Macaca mulatta: one gene and its partners. The protein of the gene in region 2 purifies or fractionates together with the protein of the main gene of each other region. This does not show direct contact. Links are inferred from orthologs where the notes say so. Each region holds a gene or a part of one and is shown on either strand. Other genes may lie near its edges.

What was found.
Region 1: the proteins of CLTC (region 2) and PTPN23 purify together in Homo sapiens (affinity purification with mass spectrometry; 3 studies listed by BioGRID and IntAct, with this or other methods). This does not show direct contact. The link is inferred for Macaca mulatta from reciprocal best matches to the Homo sapiens genes CLTC and PTPN23.
Region 3: the proteins of CLTC (region 2) and MYO6 purify together in Homo sapiens (affinity purification with western blotting; 4 studies listed by BioGRID and IntAct, with this or other methods). This does not show direct contact. The link is inferred for Macaca mulatta from reciprocal best matches to the Homo sapiens genes CLTC and MYO6.
Region 4: the proteins of CLTC (region 2) and AP2M1 purify together in Homo sapiens (affinity purification with mass spectrometry; 3 studies listed by BioGRID and IntAct, with this or other methods). This does not show direct contact. The link is inferred for Macaca mulatta from reciprocal best matches to the Homo sapiens genes CLTC and AP2M1.

The regions. Positions count from the first base shown.
Region 1 is NC_133407.1:110,738,262-110,742,408, reverse strand, and holds the start of PTPN23 (tyrosine-protein phosphatase non-receptor type 23), read right to left. Parts: upstream 2,818-4,147; 5' UTR 2,722-2,817; coding exon 2,638-2,721; exon of another isoform or gene 2,135-2,637; intron 1-2,134. UniProt on the Homo sapiens protein: Plays a role in sorting of endocytic ubiquitinated cargos into multivesicular bodies (MVBs) via its interaction with the ESCRT-I complex (endosomal sorting complex required for transport I), and possibly also other ESCRT complexes.
Region 2 is NC_133421.1:50,365,027-50,369,043, forward strand, and holds the start of CLTC (clathrin heavy chain 1), read right to left. Parts: upstream 2,833-4,017; 5' UTR 2,596-2,832; coding exon 2,554-2,595; intron 1-2,553. UniProt on the Homo sapiens protein: Clathrin is the major protein of the polyhedral coat of coated pits and vesicles. Two different adapter protein complexes link the clathrin lattice either to the plasma membrane or to the trans-Golgi network.
Region 3 is NC_133409.1:109,847,309-109,850,870, forward strand, and holds part of MYO6 (unconventional myosin-VI), read right to left. Parts: intron 1,234-3,562; coding exon 1,143-1,233; intron 386-1,142; coding exon 235-385; intron 1-234. UniProt on the Homo sapiens protein: Myosins are actin-based motor molecules with ATPase activity. Unconventional myosins serve in intracellular movements. Myosin 6 is a reverse-direction motor protein that moves towards the minus-end of actin filaments.
Region 4 is NC_133407.1:96,309,470-96,313,459, reverse strand, and holds the start of AP2M1 (AP-2 complex subunit mu), read right to left. Parts: upstream 2,845-3,990; 5' UTR 2,729-2,844; intron 740-2,728; 5' UTR 697-739; coding exon 623-696; intron 133-622; coding exon of another isoform or gene 58-132; intron 1-57.

The DNA of each region.
Region 1 (4,147 bases), on a different chromosome or scaffold from region 2:
ACAAAAATACGTCCTAGGAGTTTGTGGGCCAAGATCTTATCCACTGCATTCCCATATATTTATGGTCACCATCTCTAAATTTCCTCTCAGCTGTCATTCAATCATTTGAGAAAGATTTTTCTGACTGCCAACTATGTAGAGGGTACACTGTTAGGCTCTGGGGAACACAGGGATACTTCTCAGGTAACGCACACTTGAACAGCGGGGTTAAAACACGGTATACATAACTGTCACCAGGGAAAGGATGAAAAGAGTTAAGGAATTAAGAGAAAAGAAAGATTAATCCAGGTAGGAAGATTAAGAAAGGCTCTGCAGAAAGGAGAGCTTAAGCTGGACCTTGAAAGTTGGATGGGAGACAAGAAAACGAATTCACAGAGATTGAAGAAGGGCACCTCACCACCCCACAGGGCAAAATGAGAGCTCTTCTAGGCAGGAGGAATTCCATGACCAAAGGCACAGAAGAGGAAACAGTATGGTAAGGAAACAACAAGTGACTGCGAACAGAATCTAGGGTACCTCTATCAGATGCACACAGTAGATGAAGAACACAGTGGGGACTCAATAAATGCTGAAAGAACTGGGATAACTCTGGAAGAACTCTAATGGAAAAGTAAAGATACTGGCTCTATTCCAAGACTCCATCTCAAAAAAAAAAAAAAAAAAAGATACTGGCTCCATTCTGTAAAATAGAAAACAGGAGTTTTGGCCTGGCGCAGTGGCTCACGCCTATAATCCCAGCACTTTAGGAGGCCGAAGCAGGTAGATCACGAGGTCAGGAGACCATCCTGGCTAACATGATGAAACCCCGTCTCTACTAAAAATACAAAAAATTAGCCGGGCGTGCTGGCGGGCGCCTGCAGTCCCAGCTACTTGGGAGGCTGAGGTAGGAGAATGGTGTGAACCCAGGAGGTGGAGCTTGCAGTGAGCCGAGATGGCGCCACTGCACTCCAGCCTGGGTGACAGATGAGACTCTGTCTCAAAAACAAAGGAAGGAAGGAAGGAAGGAAGGAAGGAAGGAGGGAGGGAGGGAGGGAGGGAAGGAAGGAGGGAAGGAAGGAAGGAAGGAAGGAAGGAAGGAAGGAAGGAAGGAAGGAAGGAAGGAAGGAAGGAAGGAAGGAAGGAAGGAAGGAAGGAAGGAAGGAAGGAAGGAAGGAAAGAAAACAGGAGTTTTGTTGTGTCTTAGAAAAATTCATCCAATTGTATTTTTATGAAAGAGCAGAAGAAGGCCTGTAATCCCAGCACTTTGGGAGGCCGAGGCAGGCGGGTCACCTGAGGTCGGGAGTTCAAGACCAGTCTGACCAACATGGCGAAACCCCGTCTCTACTAAAAATACAAAATTAGTCAGGCATGGTGGCGCATGCCTATAATCCCAGCTACTCGGGAGGATGAGGCAGGAGAATTGCTTGAACCCGGGAGGCGGGGGTTGCGGTGAGCCAAGATCGCACCACTGCACTCCAGCCTGGGCAACAAGAGCGAAACTCCGTCTCAAAAAAAAAAAAAAAAAAAAAAAAACAGCAGCAGATGAAGAGAGTAACGTATGGATAACAGTTAACAAAATTCTAGAAGTTTGGATCAATTAGCCTCATTTCCTGGGCCCAAGAGGCTAAATGATGGACTCAAACACTGTCTGAACTAAGGCAATGGTGTATGGAGAGAAGAGGGGAGATAGCTTCTTGGGAAACTACTTCAAAACCCATTTTCTTTTTCCTATTTGTTTTCCCAAGCATCTCGCTAAGTGGTGCACCATCTAGACTGGGGCTTACTCTGGCATCTGCTGTGCTATGCCCACAAGGCCCCCCACCTGCGACAGCCTCCTGGTTGTTCCTTTTCACTTCTGCTCTATCTAGCCCTCAGTGCTACCAACACAGCGGATGTCTCAGAGGGCACCTGTGTTCAATCACCATACCTGGACCTCTCCACATAAGTTCCTTGCCTTAGTCAACGCCAAACCTGCCCGTCTGTTCTTCCAACACAGTAAGATTTCTCTAAGCTCTACAACACTGTTTATGCCCTCCAGTCGGTTACGAAAAGCAGTAACCCTCTAAAAATGTCATGGGATTGTATCGTTTGGTCCAAAGAGACTCCCGAATGAGAGACCATACAGCATCGCAGCAATTTTAAAACAAACCCTCACCGCACGGGTCGGGCATCTCGCTGGGTCACCGGGGCTCACGTCTTAAACACACGCCCTGAGCCATCCCCAGCGTCTGTCCCAGGAGGGCCGTGGACTTGACAGTGCACCGAGGGCCGGGCGCAGCAGAAGAATCCGCACGGTCAGGGCCGCCCACCGCTCCCGCGCGGGGCGGTCCAGCCATGGAGGAGGGGCGGGGCAGAACTGGGTCCCGAGCGTCAGAAGGAGGAAGTGTGGTGCCTCAGTGGGAACTGCGGATGACTCGGGGCAGAAGTCGGGAAGCGGGTTCAGATGAGGATGCAGGTGCTAGCACCGGGCTATCGGGGAGAAGAATGGCCTGCGAGCCCCTGGGTGTGGGACAGGTTGAGGAACACTGGCGGAAGCCCCTCCTGGCCTCACCGGACCCTGCGACGGGGCCTGAGGTGGTGGGCGCGCAGGGGGCGTCACGCGCTGGCAGACGACGGAGATACGCGGCGGATGGGGGGGAAGACGGAAGGCAAACTCACCTTCTTAACAGCTGGTTGGAAGTGGAAGTCACCAGCCTCCTTCAGATCCAGCCAGATCATAGGCATGCGGGGCACGGCCTCCATGGCGGCTGGCGCCAGCCGGCCACCCGGCCACTCCCGTAGCTGCTGCAGCTGCTGGCTCAGCCACGAGCCCAGCCCCGCCCCTTCGCGCCGGAAGTCACTGGTCACGGGAGGGAATGAAAAATACCACCTGCCTGCCGGGAGTTGCAGTTTCCTCCCCCGCCCGCGTGGTCTTTTGCGCAGGCGCAGTCCCTGTTGCGCAGGCTCAGTCTTTTTCGCGCGGAGGGAGTAGGGCGGGGAGGAGCTCGCCAGCCCGAGGCGAAAGGGTTTCTGGGTTAATAGTCTTCCTCTGCTAAACTGAGAGGCGCGGAGCGACCTTATTCCCCGCTCCCGGGCCAAGCCCGTCTGCCGGCCCCTCCCGCCGCGCTCCTCCCTCCTAGGAAGAGCGTGAGAACTCACCTATGAACTTGCCCTCCCAAGTATTGTCAAGGGCCGTGGAGGACTGGTGCTGTGGTAGAGATGACGTGGCAGGCGGGCCGCTGGGAAGAGATGACGCGAAAACTGGCTTAAGAGAGGGTGCGGAGGGGCCACCTGGCCTGAAGGAGTCGGTGCTGAGAGCAGGGGGTTTCATTCTCGGGGCTGCGAAGGCTTTCGAGCTTTGGAACAGAAGAATGACTGACCAGAGACTGGCCTACTCAGCCCAGCCTGGGAGGCCGGGCAGTGCCCAAGGGAGACGGACGATAGGGAGGGAGCGCCTGGATGGAGCGTCTCAAGCGGAGCGAGGAGGCCCCTGGCCCTGTAGGAAAGTGGGTGGGGGAAGGTATCCGGCCAGGTGAGCTCCCAGGGAGGCCCAGAATATCTGGAAGGAGACCACGGAATGGAGAGCACCTGTTGACTCTGTAGAGAGGACCTGTAGAGCAGGAATTGTTAAATCGTATGGCTGTATCACCTACTTTTAGAAATAAATAATAGGCTACTCGGGAGGCTGAGGCTGGAGGTTCAATCGCTTGAACCCGGGAGGCGGAGGTTGCAGTGATCCTAGATCGCGCCACTGCTCTCCAGCCTGGGCGACAGAGCGAGACTCCGTCTCAAAATAATAGTAACAATAGAAACAAGTAACAGAGAATGGCCTGGAGATAGTGAGTGCAAAAGTGGGAGCTGGGAGACCAGTGAGTCTTTTGTAGTCTTCCAGGAGACAGGTGATTGTAGCAAAGCAGAGGGAAATAAAAAGTGGGCAAAGAAATATTTTGCCCACTTTGAGAAATATTTGAGGAATATTTAGGAGACAGAAGTATCAGAACTTGGAATGGATGGATGTAAGGGAATGAGGACGTCGAATATGTTTTCCAAGCTTCTGACTTGTGCAGCTGGGTGGCTGTGGGACTGTTTACTGATAAGGGAAAACGGGAAGAGCAAAGGTTCAGGTCTGTGTTAAGCTCGAGGTCAAGGCCTTTGACTGGTTCTAGATGAAATGTGGAGACCACCATGT
Region 2 (4,017 bases):
CCTTATTAGTTGGGCTCAGTGGTTCACACCTATTATCCCAGCACTTTGGGAGGCCAAGGCAAAGGATTGCTTGAGCCCAGGAATTCGAGACTAGCCTGGGCAACATAGTGAAGCCCCATCTCTACAAAAAATACAAAAATTAGCCAGGTGTGGTGGCTCATGGCCGTAGTCCCAACTACTCAGGATGCTGAGGTGGGAGGATGGCTTGAGCCCAGTAGGTCAAGGCTGCAGTGACCTGTGACAGTGCCACTGACCTCCAGCAAAAACCCTGTCTCTTCAAAAAACAAAAACCTTATTAATTTTTCAAAAGGTAGGAGATAATGAAGTCAGGAGATATATTATCATGGAAGAGGCTGTAGTTATTTGCGCTCTGCAATTAATCAGCTGGAGCACACAGTCATATTAGCTAAGCAAGCTTAACTTTAGGCATGACATAGCAATCCAAAACACAGAGGGCTGAATTTTCAATTTGCAAATCTGCTTTATATTCAAAATCTTCAAATTATTTGAGAAGAAAATGGCTTCATTCAAGTATCTGCTGAAACTGAGCCAGTTACAAAACAGACATGTATTAAATTTGTCTTCAATAAGTGACAAGGTTGGGTTCCAATCTCTGGCATCATTTAACAATTCTTGTCTCCTCTTTAAAAGAAATGAAAAGCTATTACTCGAACCACCACAAGATTTAGTAGTGAGCTATACATCTGCCATGGAAAATAAACAGCAGCTGTACTTGATTCTTTGTGTGGTTTATAAACATTTGTCTGCAGAAAGATATTTCAGATGCAGCTTAGTATGAAAACAAGCCCGCGTTTTCCCCTCACACTTAAGAACAGCACTTTCTCAACTCTCCACATTCATTTGCCACCCCACTTTAACAAAAATAACTAAAGCAATTAAACTTGGATTGATTAAAAAAAAATCCACTTTGTTATTTAACGTTTTTAACCTTCTGTAAAAGTGTTTTTATTATTGGCATAAATATATTTATATATATATGCCAAGATATGCCAAGGTATATTCCATTACTTCAGATGAGTTATTTGAAAATTATAGATGACTGAAGAAAGTGCATTATTTGACTCATTTTATGGGTAAAGATTTATTATTCTTTACATTTCAAGCCTTAAAGGAAAATAAGTCCTTGCTAGTGCAAACATGGTAATACCTGCAAAGAAATATGAAATTATGTTACTTATAGCCTGAATATTAAAACCTTTTATTAACAAAACTCTTTTATGTATGTTATACCAATGGGGGAATGTAAATAAAAATGGTCTTCAATGGTAAAGTGTCTAATAAGTCACTGATATTAGTGTCATGTCAAACCACTGCATTCTCTGTCATTATGGAATTAGCCCTTCAGACGATAGAGCTGAGGCAGGTTTCTTTAAGGGGATATTTGGGAAGAAAGCAAATTAATAGGAATAAATTGTTTCAGCTACAGTAAAAATCAGGATTGGTGACACAGGAAAATCAAAAGCTCTGAAGAGGTTTAATTCAGTGAAGCCTTCCAATGGTCACCTGCCTAGGCCAGCGATTGGCATGCTGCCAGATGAGACAACAATATGTTGCCTCCAGGATAAGGAACCATGGGAAAGAACTCTAGAACTTACTAAAGGGAAGCCAGTTACAGACCAAATAGCCCCGCAGGTCTCAGAGCAGCTGTGCTCTGTCCCCAGGGCTCTGTTCAATTCCATGCGATCCTGAGGAAGATATTCAAAACTACCTGCTACTACTCGAGAAGACTAGAAGATAACCTCTGTATCACTCTTTCCTACCTTCTAGAACCAAAGAGGGGTTAAGAGCCACAACATCCCCAAAGAAATAAAAAAAGTGGGAAGGGGAGGCGAGTTTCCTTAGGGAGCTCGACCCCACACACTCTGAGATTGACATCGTTCTGAGAAATGCGTTCTCCCATTCTACCCTCGTTTCGTTCTTTCAGTGACCTTCTGTCCCTACTGCCTCAAGGAAGGCAAGAGACAAGCCACCGCCTCACCACCACCCCCAACCCCCACCACCGGAGAAGGTGCCTTTCTCAGTTGAGAGCCGCAGAGGGAGGAAAAAAAAAAGGTTGCTCCTCCCCAACCCACCCGCCCCACAACTCCTGGGTGCAGACACGAAGAGGGAAAGAGGAGAGCAATGGAAGGTGACAGCCCCGCACTGGCCCAGGGGATAAGAATCCTTGCTCTGGTAGAAACAAGAGAGAATCCCCCCTCCCACTCCCCTACCCAAATGAATGAACTGAACAAAATGGGGAGGAGAGAGTTTGTACGCGCAGTTCTGGCCATCCAGGAAGCAAGATCGAGAGGCCTTTGGATCCAGGCCTGGTCTTTGCAGCCCTTTGCACCCCAACTCCTGTCCTTTCATCCAAGCCCCACATCATTTAACAGTTTAAGCTTTCTAAGATAGTGCCCCCTCCTCCACCTACCCCAAAGACCGACAACCCCCCCACCCCTCCAGCTCCGATCCTGCTCGGGGCCCAGACTCCAGCTTCTTCCACTATTCCTACCACCTTCTCCACAGCCCTCACCAGCCCGGGCCCGGCCGCACCTGGAGATGCTCCTGAAAACGAATTGGCAGAATCTGGGCCATGGCGCTGTCGGGGGGAATGGTCTCCTCCTGTCACTGGGGCTGCGGGGCAGTGGCTGCCCGGGCTCTCCGAGGGAGAGGAGGAGAAGGGGAGGGGGGAGGCTGGGCTCAGCAGGATCCTCTCCGGGGACGCAGGAAACTGGCACGCAGACGAAAGAGCTCGGGTCGGGGGCGGAGGCTCCACGGGCCAGGAGAGCCGCAATGGCGGAACCGGGCGCAGCGCAGACTCCGGAAACGGCTGAGCCCAGCGGAAGGATCCCGGCGACAGAACTCCGCCCAGTCGCCTCACCCCCTCCGCCTTATGTACCCCTCCACGGAGCGGTGCGTGCGGCGGGTGCAGGAATTCCGGGCGCTGTGCGCCCGGAGCCTCTCTTCTGACGCCACACGGGGGGCAACAGAGGAACCGGAGGGACTACTTTTTTAGACTCATCACTTTCGCCAATCTTCTTTTTCTACCCCCACTTTTTTTTTTTTTTTTTTGCATTTTGCCACATCATGCGACTCGGAGCGACCGACGTCACTTCCGTGGGCGCTTTAGGTCCCACCCACGTACTTCCAGGTGCACGTGATACTGATGGGGAAGGGTCGGCTGATTGCTGCCAGAATGGAGAGCGCGTTTTAAGGAAATGCGGCGTCTCCTGGGAGTGAAGTGGCTGTTGGGCCACCTTGAGGCATGACGGGTGCCGCTTCCTTCCCCTGCGACCCCTGCCTGTTTGGACTGAGCCCCTTACAGGAGGACGTGGCGGGGGCAGACGGGGGCAGCCTCCCGCCCTCTCCGTGACTCAGGGAAACGGCCTCGCCGCAGAGCGCTCCCTCGGCAGCTGGCTGCAGCACTCCTCCCCCGCCGGGCTTCAGAGTGGGTGGTTTCCTACAGCCTAGGGAGGGGGCCTGAAACGGGGTTTAAAATCCTCCCTGCCCTCACACACGCCCTTCTGACGGTTGGAGAACCTGACGCGCGGATTCTAACTAGAACCGGCACTCTCTTCGGGTGTTAGATAATTAGCTCAAAGGACAGCGAAGGCCATTTATGATGTGTCTCAAGCTGGCCTTATGACAGCTTCTCTTAACGTTTCTGCGGACATTTTGGCGGGCGGACATGTGTCAGCCTAGCTCAGTAATCAGTTTCGTTAAAGAATTCGAGTATCAGAACGTACAAGGATTGGACTCAAATTCTAGCAGGAGGATTTTTAGCCACATCAAATAATTTATGTCTCAGAGATTTAGATAATTAGGGTAAGGATGCTTGGTAAAGCCTGAAGGTTCCTGGAGGAAAGAGATGAACTGTTAGTCGTGCATTTCCGTGGGACCACCTCAACATAGGTTCCTGTAGGTTAGCAGTGTAGAAATGCAGCGCTTCAAAGCCGGAGCATCATGTCTTCAAAGAGCATGGAGGTATCAACGGCATTCATTGTCGATTAATAATAA
Region 3 (3,562 bases), on a different chromosome or scaffold from region 2:
TTCTTAGCAACAGAACAAATGGCATAAAAATTATCTTCTTTAACTTTTTGCTATGAAATTTTTCAAACATTAAGAGTAGAGGTAATATGATGAGCATCTACTTGCCATCATTGGGTCTCAACACATTTTGTAATTTTGAAAAACTAAGGACCTTTACTATACAATTTCAATACCAGTAACAAAATATATTAAATTATGTAAAAAGTCAAAGTCATTTGGGTTAAAATTACATACCTTAATTTTGGCCATCAAAGCATCAATAGAAATTTCCAGATCCTTGATCTGTTTATTCATCTCCGGTTTTCCATCTTTCAACACACTGACTACCTCATTAAATTTATCAAGTCGTTTTTTCAGTGTGCCCACCTTAACCAGGCCATCAATGCTGTAAAAATAATACTTCATTAGAGCCTAATTTCATCATTTAATACTTTTGGCAGATTTTTCATTTATAAAATGCTAAACAGGGTATTTCACTTCCGTTTTCAATATTATCTAGTATTCTCTTTTTCAGATCTTTTGTTGAAGGCTTAAAAAATCAAATATGAGTGTGAATGACACTGATGCCTGTCAACAGGATTAAAGCCTTCTACAACTTTGAGAATTCAAATCACAGAGGACCTTAAAGGAGTTATCTAAGTCTCTTTGAAAAGGTGTGATGGATCAATAGATATTCAGACTTCCAATTTTTAAGTCTAAATTAAAAATGAAAGATTCAAATAAGAAATAAAGACTAATTTATAATGGGACAATGTAATTCCTACAGATAATCTTGAAAATTTTGGTAAATACATTAGTGAGTTTTTTTAAAAAAAAGTCACCTTGACATTATCAAGAAACTCAAATAACTAAAATAATCGGAATAAAAGAGCTTCTCTCAACACTTATTTCTTGTTTTATAATCTTTACACATTTTCGTATGCCACTTCAAATCCTTTTATAGAATGAGGCAAGTAATAAGGTAATAAATGAATTAACTAATTTCAAATAAATATTACAAATAGAAGACTAATATATCATCTTACGAAGAACGTGAGAAAACTCCTTGAGTATCCAAACTGCTTTTTATTATGACTTTATTATCATTTTGTATTACAGTAACTAGGTTTTGTAGAGTTCTTTTTAGGGACTATTCATCTTACCGAGGTTTGTGTCTCCTCTTGCAAAGCCACATTCGAATAGTTTTTTGCATTTTAATGCAGGCTTCAGCTCGATATTTTATTTTGTTTTTCACTATGTGTAAGAGAAAATGATAGAAAATTATTCAGTTTAAATCTAACATATATTTTTAAAAACTCATTTTCATAAAGTAATTCTCAAGAAACATAAAATCTTGTATTATATATCAGATATCAAAAACAGAAAGTTTTAACATTTTTTTGTTTGTTTTCGTTTTGACAGAGTCTCAACCCAGGCTGGAGTGCAATGGCATGATCTTGGCTCACTGCAACCTCCACCCCCCGGGTTCAAGCGATTCTCATGCCTCAGCCTCCTGAGTAGGTGGGACTACAGGCACACGCCATGCCAGGCTAATTTTTGTATTTTTATTTGAGCCAGGGTTTTGCCATGTTGGCCAGGTTGGTCTCAAATTCGTGACCTCAAGTGATTCTCCCACCTCAGCCTCCCAAAGGGCTAGGATTACAGGCGTAAGCCACCATGCCCAGCCAGTTTTAACATTTCTATAATTTCTTATTCTTCTTAAAATAAAAAGATATTGAAACCACCTGCGTAAAATTTACAATGAAGGAAATTACGTAAAAGAAATCTGACCTAACCAAGTCCATCTTGCTTCTAACCTCTAAGCTGTCCTTGTTCATTCCTGGGTGTGGGCCAAACTAGTCTTAGGAAGGAATTTAGTTTATATAGTTTAACTTTGAAACAAACACGTTAATAGCCCTTTCCCAAAATAAACCCACTTCTTGCCTGGGGAACCAGTCAGCCTTTGCAGGACTAACAAATTGGCTCCAAGATTAGAAATTACTGTTTAGGAGCCACACAGCCACCTCCCTAAATTGCTCCCATATATAACATCACATTTGTAAAACCTAACATCAGTGCTTGAGATATTTTGCAGACCTTCCAATGCACCAGCTGATGCCACCCAGATAGGTAATCTGGCCCAGCCAGTTCTATGATCCCACTCATGAACGGAAGAAAGCAAGAAAAACTCAACTTTGACCCCCTATGATTTCATCTCCAACCCAAGCCCCTACCTACCAAATTATCCTTAAAAACTCAGATCTCCGAGTTTTCAGAGAGACTGATTTGAGTAATCATAAAACTCCAGTCTCCCACACAGCCAGCTCTACGTGAATTACTCTTTCTCTACTGCAATTCCCATCTTGATAAATCAGCTCTGTCTAGGTAGTGGGCAAGGAGAACCCACTGCATAGTTACAATATCATGTATCTGGTTAGGCTTACATTTTAAATGCATTATTTCCTTATTATGCTACACGGCTACCTCCTAAACTGTCTTAGGCAACATACTGAATAGGTATGTCCTGAAAAAAGGATTTACCTGTCAAATGAGTGTATGAAAAGCCGTACACTACACTTCTGTTTGGAGGTTCACAATGAACACACAGAGTGAAGCCTCTGAGAATCCTACAGCAAAGAAATCTACTTAACTTCAGTTACTCAGAATTTCCTAGGATGATCTGGCCATCAACTTTTTTTTCAGAGCTTCCTATTAACATTCCACAAAGATCCCTGCCCGGTGACTGACTTCAGTACCACTGTAGAACACAGTCCACAAATGAATGGTGTAACAGATAATTTTATTATAATGTGTTTTCTATCATAATGCAATGTGTAAAGCTGAACGTATTAAACTACAGTAATATATTTATATTTGGAAAATGATGGGAAAAAGAGATTCTGCTTTTTTCTTTTTATATTAATAGTTCTCTTTTTATCTATGTTCACAATTGTCTAACAAAATATCTCAAAAATAATCTCTGTTTGCATGATTCTTTTTCATTAGGCCAAAATAATTTTCCTTTCCTACTAATAAGGAAAAAATTACTGAATTCTTTTCATGTGCCTAGCACTATTTCAGGTACTCTGATGAGTATGAGGGGCAACTGTAAATGTAATCAAGTTACTGATTCCCACACAGTTCCCAACAATTAAAGGTTTGCCACAGATCCTTAGGCAACCCCAAAATGTTCTGTCCCTCACTTTTGTTTTGGGCCAGCTATGTAACTGCTATGACCTGGCCAAACCACACACAAAAGCAGCTTAGCCCAGTATGTCAAAGGGGTTTGAAATCCTAATCCCAAAATCCATAATCTCAAATGTTGAAATCCCAAAAGGTCAAAATTCCTCAATTAAAATCCCTAACATCTAAAATCCCCAAAATCACAATCACAGGGATCATAGAAGAATTTCAAAAAGAGCAATCTCATGAAGAAAATGAATATGAACATATTCTCCAAGAAGAACCATGTCCTAAAAGAAAAAAAGCACCTATTATTCATGGTACAAGATTTCAAAATATAGTTAATGACTGAGAGAGACAGCCAGCTCTTATGGCTGGCTGTCTATAATCTATTCCTATA
Region 4 (3,990 bases), on a different chromosome or scaffold from region 2:
ATAAACCAGAGAGGGTAGCATGGCCTCCCTGCCCTTTCTTAGTGACCCAGAGAGTGCCTCACGCTCCCTCCCAGCCTCTCCCCCAGGAATGGCCCAGAGGAACTGAAGACAGCTGAGTCAGCAGCCTGACTCCTGAGAAAGGGAGCAGGAGAGGATTGGGTAGCCTGGAGAGGCTTTCAATAGAATCCAGTGAAGGCGCTTGATATGAGAAGGGCTTCTCAGAGCAAGGCTTAGATGGATTAGTGTCTCCAGCCTGGCCACTAACCCCACCCACTAGAGATATTTCTCCTTCTCCTCAAAGAAGAAATTCACCAGCCTGGGCAAAGGCACTCATCTCCAGCAACCAGGCCTGTATAGAGAAACAGGATGCAGGAAGGGCAGGCGTTCCTAAAGCTGTGGGACCATGCCATTCCACGGGTCCCACCTAGGGGCCAGCAGGCTGGCTGCCGGGTGAATACCACCAGACCTAATGGGAGCCAGGCTACACTAGCTGAGCTTCCAGGGTGCAGCCAGGGGTCAGGGTGGTCCAAGTCAAGCCTCTGGTGAGAAGAGACCTAATCCTGCATGCTGGGGCTCGGGGGCTGGAGTGGTGGGGCACAGCTGGCTCTGCCAGAGGACTCACCCGATGTCATCTCGGTAGACTCGAGAGATGAGCACCTCCCCCTTGTGATTATAGATGAATAAGCCTCCAATCATGGCGGCAGATCAGTCTCCGCGGCCCATTGCTCTGAGAACAGACCTAGGACAGGCGGGGGCGGGGTAAAAGAAGACCTCAGAATCCCTGCCAACATCCCCTGTGGAGCTGTGCAGATCACTGGAGCTTTTTTCCTGACTCAACCCTTTAGCAAGTGACCCTGCAGCCCTCCCAGACATGCCCCTCCCCTCAGCTAGGCTCCAGTTCCTGTTTATTCCACACTGGATGGGAGAAAGAAACTGAGAGAGATTAGGCTCAGGACTCTAAGGCCATTTTGACCCTCCGTTTCCTGGGGCTGAGCATCAGCAACCCCGCCCCCTCTCTCCAGCACTGAGCTCAGGAATGATCCTTTTCGGCCTCCTCCTGTGCAGACTCTCAGGCTCCGGCCAGTGAGTCACTAAGGCCTGCCTGCCTGCTGCTGCAGGAATGGCGGTAGGAATTACTCCAGTTGGTTCAGGCCTGGGGCCCCCAGGCATAACCTTTAGAGCATCCAGTCTCTCGGGCTCCACTACCCTTCAGAGAAGGTCGCAGGGCCTGAACTTCCGGCACTCTAATTCACAGAATTCAAACATTCCAAGAAAGGGTGTGAGGAGAAGAGAAGGGAGCCCTTAGGCCCTAATGTGGACCCGGGAGTGTGGCTTAACCTCTTCCAGGCAGTGGAATAAGCAGGCAAAGGGCAAAGGAGGAAGGTCCTAGTGCTGGCAGACTACACCTCCATCACCTAAGCTGCTTATTACAGTTATTTCTGACTACCACCCCCCTTTCAAAAAGCTCTGGAATGCAATAAAAGTAAGGACTGGGGGGGTGGGGGTAGTGCAGGCTCATAAAATTAAGAAATCCTTCCATCTGAAATCGTGATTCCAGGCCCATCAAGTAACTCATTTCTGGCCTGGGTGCCTATAAACAAGAAGCAGGGATTTCAGGATGCCTGAATTATCCAAATTATTTGGGTCAAATTAATTTAGACTGCTTGAGAAAAGGCATTAATTTGCTTTTAGATTTCCTGGATTAGCTCTGGTATTAATTTCACAGGGAGTACTTTAGAAGACTTTTCTAAACTGGAAAATAAAGCCTTTTCCTGTGGCTGTCAAGGTCTTCCAGAGGGGTGAGCGGCCTCTCAAGGTGGTGGACTCATCCCATTCCTCAGTCCCAAACAGGCTGGTAGAGGAGATGCAAAATGGAGGTAGAGCCTGGGGCAAAGAACCAAGTCCACAGGTATATCGAGTGGTAGGTAGGGAAGGGCACCCGAGAACCAGAGGTGGGGCCTTGGGCAGGAATGGAACATTTAGTTAAGGGTAAAGACCGGCAGTGACAGCCAGGCAGCGTCCTCAGGTGAGCCCACAGCAGCAAACTGGGCTGGTGGAGTGCACCTAAAGGTAAGGGTTTCCAGTATGGAAAAGGTCAAGGCTTTAAGAAGGAAAAACCAGCAGGGGGAAATTGACGGTAGTGAATAAGGGAAAGCTGGGGAGACAGAGCCTGCTTGGGGTTCAGGTGCAGAGTAATGAGGGGGTGGTGGGCTTTTCGCCTTGGGGAGACATCGTGGGAAAAGATGGTGCCATGGGGCGCGGGGGCCGTCACAGGTCTAAGGAAGAAGAGCCGCGGGATGTCACTGAACTGAGAGGAGGGGGGGCCGCATGGTGTGAGATCTGTCACGGTGCAAGGAGGCGGAACAAGGGGGTGTCACTGTCCTACGAGACGGGGAAATTGTCCTTGCGCGGAGGGGTAGGGGGTTGGCACTATCCTAGGGAGGGGGCGCTGCGCAGCGTTCCTGCTCTGGGAGAATTTCAGGCGGTATCCCTCTCATGGGAGGCGCCAGGCGGGTCAGGTGGAGGGCACCGCTCCCAGCCAGCCCTGCAACCTCGCCCCGGGCGCCCCCGCCCCACCGTCAGCCAGCTCCCGGGTCTGAAGGCTGAAGCCACTCCCGGGTGTGGGCAGCTTTCTGCCAGCTCAGCGCAGGGCAGGACAAAGCTGGGCGGCGAAGCAGACGACCCGCGGCGTCCTCCCCCACGCCATAAGGCCAGATCCCCGGCTCACCTGGTGTCCCGAGGCCCCTTCTCTGCCGGCCCGGCCACTCTCCGGATCCCAAGATGTCCGCCCGCCCCCTGCTCGTCTGCCCGCTGCCTCGGCTTTCACCGCAGTGCCGCGGCCCCGCCCCGGTCCCGGCTGCGCGTGCGCGCCCGCCTCTCGCGCCGACTACAAATCCCGTCAGGCCTCGCGGCCTCCTTGCTTGCTATTTGAAGCGCTCTAGGTTTAGCAAAACTACAACTACCGACTGCTTTCGAGAAACCGTCCCTGCCTCAGGAAGGGGTAGGCGTGGCCTTAGCCGGCCCTACCAGAAATACACATTCCAGCATACACCGCTCCACCGGCCTCATTTTTTTTTTTTTTTTTCACTGAGCGCTCTGGGAATTGTAGTCCCTGCACTTCCTCCTGTTCCTATTTGTGTTTTGGAGTTTTGGAATATTAATGCCATTTGTAGAAGCACATCTGTTAAGCCTGGGATTGCTGTAGGCCTTTTCTGTTTCCAGAGTCCCAGGACTGGCTGTCCTCACTTTGCACACAAATAAATACAACTTGGCAGTATAAGTGTTTGTGCTGAATTTACTGCTTTCTAACACTACCTCTGATTCTCCCAAGCTTTTCTCATATATTTATTCCGGACATGGGCTTTTTCCAAGGGATCAAGACCCAAGGAGAGGAGCGGGGAGCAAAGAGGAGACCACTCGGGAAGAAACTAAACCTTTTCACAAATATGTCCATGACTGTACACTCTTCCTCGAGGTCAGCTACAGCTTTTCATGAATGAGCCGATGTTCTCCTTAGCTATACCTATGCGATTGTGCATGCCTTCTAGTGACAGGCATATATGTTGCTTAGAAGATGTTCAAAGAGTTGAATTCAGTTTGACATGGGATTTGAAATCCCTTCTTTGATAAACAGAATCTTTACATCCAAGCTGAGGAGACAGAGCCAACCCTCAAACATTAAAGGCCTGCTTGGTTCTTGCAGAGATAAACTGCTGCCTTCTTTGGGCAGGACTGTGCCTGTCATGGGAGGAAGGAAGGGTGAGAAAGGGCAGATCTGGTTGCAAATGTTACAGTCCTTCCCAGCCTCTGGCCAGAAGCCACGATGTGGCAGGATGAAGATCTGACCCCTCTCAAATCATAGTCAAGGTCTGAAGTCATTAAGTGACTGAATACAGGCACTTCTAATTTTTGAACCAGCACTCAAGGCTTCACTCCTACCTTTGCAAAAGCTTTATCTTCCAAAAATACCCTAAACTGCTACCAATTTAG